Linked DNA regions of Lonchura striata. The protein of the gene in region 2 binds, or shares a complex with, the protein of the main gene of each other region. Links are inferred from orthologs where the notes say so. Each region holds a gene or a part of one and is shown on either strand. Other genes may lie near its edges.

Evidence for each region. The genes of interacting proteins can lie anywhere in the genome.
Region 1: the proteins of HRAS (region 2) and RASA1 are in contact, whole or in part, in a crystal structure (PDB 8BOS), measured with the Homo sapiens proteins. The link is inferred for Lonchura striata from reciprocal best matches to the Homo sapiens genes HRAS and RASA1. Residues at the interface, in NP_001123914.1 of Homo sapiens: Gly12, Gly13, Ser17, Ile21, Gln25, Asp30, Glu31, Tyr32, Asp33, Pro34, Thr35, Ile36, Glu37, Asp38, Ser39, Tyr40, Arg41, Gln61, Glu62, Glu63, Tyr64, Ala66, Met67, Lys88, Lys117; in NP_002881.1 of Homo sapiens: Gly746, Arg749, Glu783, Thr785, Thr786, Arg789, Ala790, Thr791, Glu799, Lys803, Ser833, Arg894, Gly898, Phe901, Leu902, Arg903, Cys906, Pro907, Leu910, Asn911, Met914, Arg928, Ile931, Ala934, Lys935, Gln938, Asn939, Asn942, Val944, Ala948.

What each region holds. Positions count from the first base shown.
Region 1 is NC_134642.1:53,188,626-53,192,369, forward strand, and holds the start of RASA1 (ras GTPase-activating protein 1), read left to right. Parts: upstream 1-1,366; 5' UTR 1,367-1,482; coding exon 1,483-1,871; intron 1,872-3,744. UniProt on the Homo sapiens protein: Inhibitory regulator of the Ras-cyclic AMP pathway. Stimulates the GTPase of normal but not oncogenic Ras p21; this stimulation may be further increased in the presence of NCK1.
Region 2 is NC_134608.1:44,540,588-44,544,331, reverse strand, and holds the start of HRAS (GTPase HRas), read left to right. Parts: upstream 1-1,485; 5' UTR 1,486-1,747; intron 1,748-3,744. UniProt on the Homo sapiens protein: Involved in the activation of Ras protein signal transduction. Ras proteins bind GDP/GTP and possess intrinsic GTPase activity.

The DNA of each region.
Region 1 (3,744 bases), on a different chromosome or scaffold from region 2:
GTTAACTCAAGAGAACTCTAAAAATCTCTGTTTCAGTCTTAGTAGTGTAAATTGGAAGCAGAGTTTGCCCTCAGAAGGAAAGATATGAAACAATTTCAGCAGATAAAAAGAGCTTGAGAGCTGTGAAAGTGGGAGCAGTAGATTGTTCTAATTGCCTCAGGAAAAATTAACTTAATACTTTTGGGTAACACAAAGCTTTGAAAACCTGAATGTTTAGATGCTTTTTGAGAACTGCAGAGAAGCATGCAAGTGTAAACGTGCTGCTATTTGTCAGCTCTTTTAGCACTGGGAGGAAAAAAACAAAAAAATCTGAAGATAGCTACATACTGTACTGCCGGGTAAGGGCCATCACATGATGTCTTCTTGATCCCAGAGGTATGAAGTGAAGCTGATGTATGAAAGAAACCCACTTTAGGGAGAAAAATGGTTGATAGTGAAGTTTAGGTATAGATTTGCTTAAGGTGGGATTGAGAGTTTGCAAGCTTGAGTAACATGACAAAAATACAGTTTCAGAGAAGTACAGAGTAAAGCAGACTCTTAGTCACAGTTCTTACAAGGTAAACGGTACCACCAGGATGTATTTTTAAAATCCATAGTTAGAATTGAATCAAAGTCATTAAGGTTGGTAAATACTACCCATATCAAATCTAACCATGAACCTAACACTGACAGGTGCTGCCCCAGGAGCCTGTTCCAGTGCTTGTCCACCCTTTCAATAAAATATTTTTTCCTAACATCCAGTCTAATGTCCCCTTGACAAAACCGTTTCCACTTGTTCTATCAATACTTGAAGGAAGGGCATAGAGAGGTAGGGACTGGTTTCTTCTACTGTATCTGCAGTGGCAGGATCAGGGGAAATGGCTTCAAACTGAGACGGAAGAGATTCAGATTATACAGAATCATACAGAATAAGCTGAGCTGGAAGACGCCCAATAGCTTTTCTTCACTGTTAGGGTGGTCAGGCATTGGAACACGTTGCCTAGGGAGATAATGAAGTCATCATCCCTGGAGGTGTTCAAAAGGCTTCCGGATCTGGCACTGGATCATACGGGTCCAGAGTTACAGTACTTATGTTGGGCTGAGCTAGTGAATCCGACCCTACCCCCGCACGTTCCCACCCACTCGACCGCGGAACGAGCCCTTTATTTCCCTAGACCGCATAACCGTAGCTATCCGCAGCTATCTGCGCCCGGCCGGCGCTGTACCGCCCGCGCAGGCGCAGAGGTGCCGCGCAAGCGCGGAGCTCCCCAGGAGGGCGGCGCTTCCCTGGGGCGGTCGCGGACCGAGGCAGCCGCGCGGGGCCCTGTGGAGCGGTCCAGCCCCCGCCCAGCCGGGCATTGTTCCCGGCCCGTCTCCGCCGGGAAGACTCAGCCGCCTCCCGAGTCCGCTGCCTGCCGCGTCGGGGGGAGGCGCGCTGGGGGCAGGGGCCCAGAGCCCCTTTGTCGCCTCCTCCCCGGCGTGAGGCCGTTGGCGAGGCTCAACATGATGGCGGCCGAGGCCACGGGTGAGGAGGGAGTCTCGGGCGCTGTCGCCGGGACGGCGGGAGCCGCCGCAGCAGGAGAGCTGGGGCACTGCCCCGCCTTGTGCCGTGGCCGGGCGCCGGAGCCGCAAAGCCTCTTCCTTGTCGGCGGCGGCCCCCCAGGCGGGCCGGATTTGTGCTCGGTTCTGGGGCTGCTGGAGCTGGGCGCGGGGCCAGCCCCTCCAGCGACCGCTGGGGCTGCCGATCTAGGCTTCCCCCCGCTGCCGCCGCCGCCACCACCGCCCCCGCTGGCTGGGGGGCTGGGGACAGTGGACGAGGGAGACTCACTGGACGGACCGGAGTACGAGGAAGAAGAGGTGGCCATTCCGCTCAACGCGCCCCCCACCAATCAGTGAGTACCCACCGCCCCCGCCTCAGTCATTGTGGGGAGTGGGTACCGTGCTGTCGACCCCCCACCGCTAGCCGAGAAAAGTGTATGTCAAACTCGGCTGGAAGTCTCGCAGGAGCTTTGCGTCCCACCTCGTCACCTTCCCTCCCTCCTCTGGTTCCGTTCCAGCAGGAAGTTTGCTTCGCGGGGACACTGCCCGTAGTCTGCGGAGCGCAGCCCACCCGAAAGTCGGGAGAGTGAGCGGCAGCAGCAGGGAGGTTGGACTCCTTCCCCTTCACGGGGAGCTGGTCCTCCTGTACTGAGTGGGATCAGCTTACGGGAAAAGGGCGACTGAGTTAGTTTTTTGCAAGTTTTCATAGCAGTACTGCAGAGGCTGCCAGGAAGAGTGAGGTATTCTGCTTGTGGTTTAAACTACCTGTTGGGGAGACTTTTCCAGTCACTGGTATCCCCTTCACAGTAGAGTCATAACCTTAATTTCTAAAGAAAAACAAATAAATAGTAAATAGAAAAAAAAAATCCATGGCATAAAAGACTTTATTTACCATGTCATCATTTTGTATTGTATTGCTTTCTGCTGAAAAAAAAAAGATAACTTACCTTTTCGAATTTATATATAATCAACCAAAGTAATGTCCACATGTTCGATCTTTTTAAAAATTCAGGCAGTTCAATTCTCGCATCATGGATTTAAAAGGAATTAAAATAATTTCTTAATTTTAAAAGTGTTAACCGATTGGTATTTTTATAAATGTTTTAACTACCTTGCTGCTCAACCAATTTAGAGTTGTTTTTATATAGGTTGTGCTTGGAGAGAGGAGACATTTGGAATAAACTGTAAACTTATAGTTAGGTTTTATTGTATTTATCCGTACATCAGGTTAATTTAGATTCCTTTAGTGGTAGTAATAGAATCTTCCACTAGAGGCAGACTAGTTCTTTGTTGAAGTTGTGTGAAATATAAGATCGGGTAATGTTATAGAGAATCCATGAAATTAGTAAGTACTCTAAACACAGCCTTTGGATTTCACTGTAGAAGATTTACAGGTTTACTCAAAGCATTTCCAAGGTGTGTATTAGAATAGAGAATAAATCTTTTCTTCCATTTCCTTATCATATTCTCCCCAAAATGAAATGGTTCAGAGGCTTACATTTTTTCATTAGTATAATTTCTATAAATATGTTGTTCTTGTAGTTCTTACAAGTATAGTGGATAATTTAGGGAGTAACATACATTTGTATTTAAAGAGATATATATAGATAGGTCAGAAAGTTAACCTAAAAATCTGTGAAATTTTGGGTTCATTCCTTATATTCTGTCATAACTTGACTGACAGAGTTAACTTCAGCATTACGTTACATACTCTTAGGATTTCAGGAGCCATTGTCCTTTTAAGTAGGACATAAAATTGTAATAGCTTCTATAACAAGCTTCTCTGAGCTTGTTTTGCAAATTAAAAAAAAAAGCCCAAAGCAAACAAAAAAGCTCGAACACAAACCAAATACAGTATGAATTCCTCGTCTTCTAATTTTTAGGCTGTAAAGATGTTAAGAAGTGCTTTTTTAAACATGAGTATACTTTTAAATAGTGTAAAGTTGGCCATCTGGCTTTCACAGTGACTAGTATGAAGAGATGGGAAATGAAGCACCTGCAGGTTCTGCAGTTCGCATAAGGATGTTGTAATATAGTTTGCTCAGGGAGGTTTGGGGAATATGTGTTCTTTTAGTGTGTATTCTTTAATATTCAAACCATGGGAGGATATTAACATATAAGACCTTCTCTTTATTAGCAAACTCAGAATCCCCCAGTAGGGTTGATTTTTTAAATCTCTGACCTAGAGTGAAACTAACATGAGGCTTGTCTATTCAAGTGTGGCGG
Region 2 (3,744 bases):
GAGAGCTACGAGGTCATTCAGAGTCAGGAGGGCTTGTTAGAAGCAAGGAAAGAGTTTCAAGGTAGGTTAAAGCTTCAGCCTTTTTGTTTGGACCTGTCTGCTGGCGTGCTGGTTTTTGGAAAAGTGCTCCGGCAGGTTTGTTTGTGCTGGTGCAACATGTTTGTGAGACCTGAGAAAACCTGCACAACTCTCTCAATGTATATCTTTAGAATGTGTTTAATCTGCTCTTGATACAAAGCTCTGCAGGGCAAGAGCTTTCTTTTTATTATGTGTCAAAATTATGTATCTAGAACAATGGTTTTTAGATCGATTTTCAGATTACTAGATACTTTTCTAATGGAAGAAATAAATTGTGAAAGTGTACTTGAAACATATGTCAGAGAGAACAGTACTTCTCCAGTACCAGGAGTGCCTACTTTATTTGGCATCATATTCTGCATCAAAGCTTGATGACTTCTGCAAGCTGCTGGAAAATACAGCGACTATGCAATCCACTATCCAGTTTCCAAATAGTAATAGGGGAATCACAGTGCCCAGAGTAGAAAATGTCTGGTGTAGTGTGGCAGAATGGGAAGCACTGATTGACAGACCTGATTTCAGGACATGAAGCTTGAGTCCATCGATATTTACTAGCTCTACTTCAGCGGTGCTCCTTGAGGCACCCAAATAGGATCAGATGAGAGCCTTTCGACACGCTTGGACCTTCATCTGAAATTGCAGTAATTCTGCCCAGACAGTGCATATCTCTGGTGTTAAGCCTAACTGAACGCCATCTGCCTTGTACAGAGTCAATTCAGGTGTCTTTTCCTTTGTGGCCTTAATTGCACTTGAATAATTTGGAGTCATCTATTTTTCTAGCCATTTCCCGGGGCCAGATAAACGCACCCTGCGAGCCGAGTTTAGCGCAGGACCGTGACTGGCCATCAGCGCTACATTTCGGGGGTCTCCGGTCCTCCTCCCCAGAAGGGCTCCGTGGGGCGCCGACAAAGGCAGCGCGGCCCCGGCAGTCCCGCGGGGAAGGGCGGGCTGCGGGAGCGGCGGCCGCCAGGCCTTCCCCTCCCCGGGGCTGCGGGGCGCTCCTGCGGCGGGGCCGCCGCGGCGCGGGAAGCGCACACGGGTCCCGGAGGGGAAAGGACGCGGTCGCGGCGGCTCCCGGGGCGCAGGGAGCGGAGGCAGCAGGGGTCACCCGCCGGGGCGAGGCAGCGCTCGGCCCCCCCGCAGCCGCCGCCGCCGCCCCAGGGACCGCCCCGCGGCCGGGCCGCGGCGGGCGGGCGGCGGCGGAGATTGACGGGCGGGCGGCCCACCCGGAGGGCGGAGGCGGCGGGGGCCGCCAATCAGGGGCGGCGGGCGGGCGCCGAGCGGCGGGCGGGCGGGGCGCGGGCTGGGCGTGTGCCGCGGCCGCCGGCGGGGCGCGCTCCCGCTCCGCTCCCGCTCTCCCCGCACGCACATTGTCCGGGCGCGGCGGCGGCACAGCGCCCCGGCGCCCCGTGCCAATGCGGGGCGGGCGCGGCACGCCGGGGGCGCCTCCACCACCGCGGTGGAAACTTCCCCTCGCCGCCGGGCCGACGCGCGGCTGAAGCCCCCGGCGGGGAGGAGCGGAGCGGGGTTTCGCCCGCCTGGGGGGGCGCCTCGTCTAGTTTGGTTTTTCCTACATTGGAAGGGCAAAAGCGAATACTGCTATCCGGCTTTAAACTTCCGCGCTCCGCTCTCCAGGACGCGCATCCCGGCCGGCGGGGTGGGCGAGCCGGTGAGTGACCGCCGGGAGCGGGCTGGCGCTGGGTCGGGGTGGGTGGGACGCGCCGTCGCGCAGGGGCAGCGCCCACCGGCTCGGCGGGGACGGGTCGGCAGCGCCGCCGCCACCTGTTAGCGGGGCTGTTCCCCCCGCCGCCAAGTTCGTGCCCCCACTGTGCTGCGGCTGTGCCCGCCGTGCCCGGGGCGGCGGTGAAAAGGAACGGACCCTCGGCCCGGTGGGCGGCGGCGGGGCCCGGGGTGTTGGGGGCGGTGGCGGCCACCCACCTGCTCGCCTGGCCGCGCCATGACTCTGCTGCCTGGGCGCTGCCTGCCGACCCGAGCCCCGGCAGGCCGCCGGCGTGGGAGGGTGGCGGGGTACCACCGAGCCGCAGCCTCTGTACCCCCTTTGCCCTCCATGCTCTCTGCCCTCCATCCCCTGCCCTCCTTCTGCCGATTCTGTGCACTCCTGTCCTCCTCCCAGGCTGCAGCCCTTTTTCCTTCCCTCCCTTGCCGTCCCGCGCCCCTCCGTCTCCCTTAGCTGCAGCCGTGTTCACCTCCTCTTCTTCGCACCCCCAGTTTGCAGCCCACTGCACCCGTCTTCCCTCATCCCCTTGCATCCCTCACGCTGTCCTGTGATGCTTCAAAAGGGGAGCAGCAGACTCCCACTCTTGGCCAAAGCGGGTACCTACTGGGCTCTGACACCCCCAGGAGAGACCGGCTCCCTGGCGCTGCCAGGCGCCGCCAGGCCCGGAGCGAGGCGCGGAGAGGGCAGGCAGGTGGCGGAGGCGCAGGTATTGGTGTGCAGCTGTGAGCGAGTGAGCGAGGTCCCCCGTTCTGCGAGCATGCGGCTCTGCGGAGCTGGTGACACCTCCCTCCTCTCTCTCCCTCCCTCCGAGGGACGCTGGCCGCCGGGGCTCTGCAGCGTGCCGAGCCTTCCTGCGCCCTGCTGCCCTGCCAAGGGTATCGCGCCGTCCGGGGCTGCAGCGTCTTCACCCCAAGTGAAGGTGCATCTGATGGCTCGCTTGGCCCATACAGCTCCTGACTGGGAATGTGTTTTGAATTGCCTCAAATAGTGGAGCGTGCCTGGAGACAGATGATGAGAAGTCAGAGTGGACTGGCAAACTCTGGAGCTACTGGAGAAATGCTTAGGACAGCTGGAAACAGGACTGTGCAGCAGGAATGGCTTGTTAAGCCATTGCATGGCAAGTCAAGCCATTGACTATTTCAGTGTCCTGAGTTGGATGGTCATATCGCTTGTAGCCTGTGATACACAAGTTGCTCCTGGGTAGGTCTTTGAAATGCAGAAAAGGTATGAACTCCTGGTGAAGCTGTGTCACGATGTATTTCAGTCTGGTTGGCATGGGTAGGATGTGCATCTTGGAGCAGGAACTGGTTTTGAATGGAGGAAAGCACATGAGGTTTGGTGTGGGCTCAGCTAAAGAGTTGCTGTAGTCAGAATTGCTGATGTGTTTATCCTTCACAGTCGTGAAGTATTTTAATTCTACAGCTGGTGATTTGTGTCATTTTCCCAAGTGTTTTTAAGACAGCCATGTCTGAAGCTATGTGTATCACCCCTCTGTGTGTCTGGTCGTTTCCTTCTCCTCGTAAAACGTTTTTTCTGTGTGATTAATAATGTGCCAACTGCTTCATTTCAGCACTGGGGAGGCTGATGCTGATTGATTTCCCTTTTCAGTCTTCTCGGTGGGTCTGGAAGCTGATGGGTGTTATCACTGCAGAAGAGTCTGCTTTTGGGTGGGAGCTGTCAGCATGTCTTTTTTTTTATCTCAGCTAACTTCTTACTTCTTTTAATTAAAAAGAGATGAAGTATGCATGGTAATACCCTTCATGTTTACATAAAAATGATCTTGTAATTAGCAATAATTATCTCAGTTTGGGATATTGCTGAGATATTTAAACAGGACTTATGACCTGAGGGACACTTTTCTGGTCCCAGGGTGTTGCCCTTGTTGTGGCTCTCTCCTGTGGTGAGTTTGATTCTTGCCTGCTGCCAGT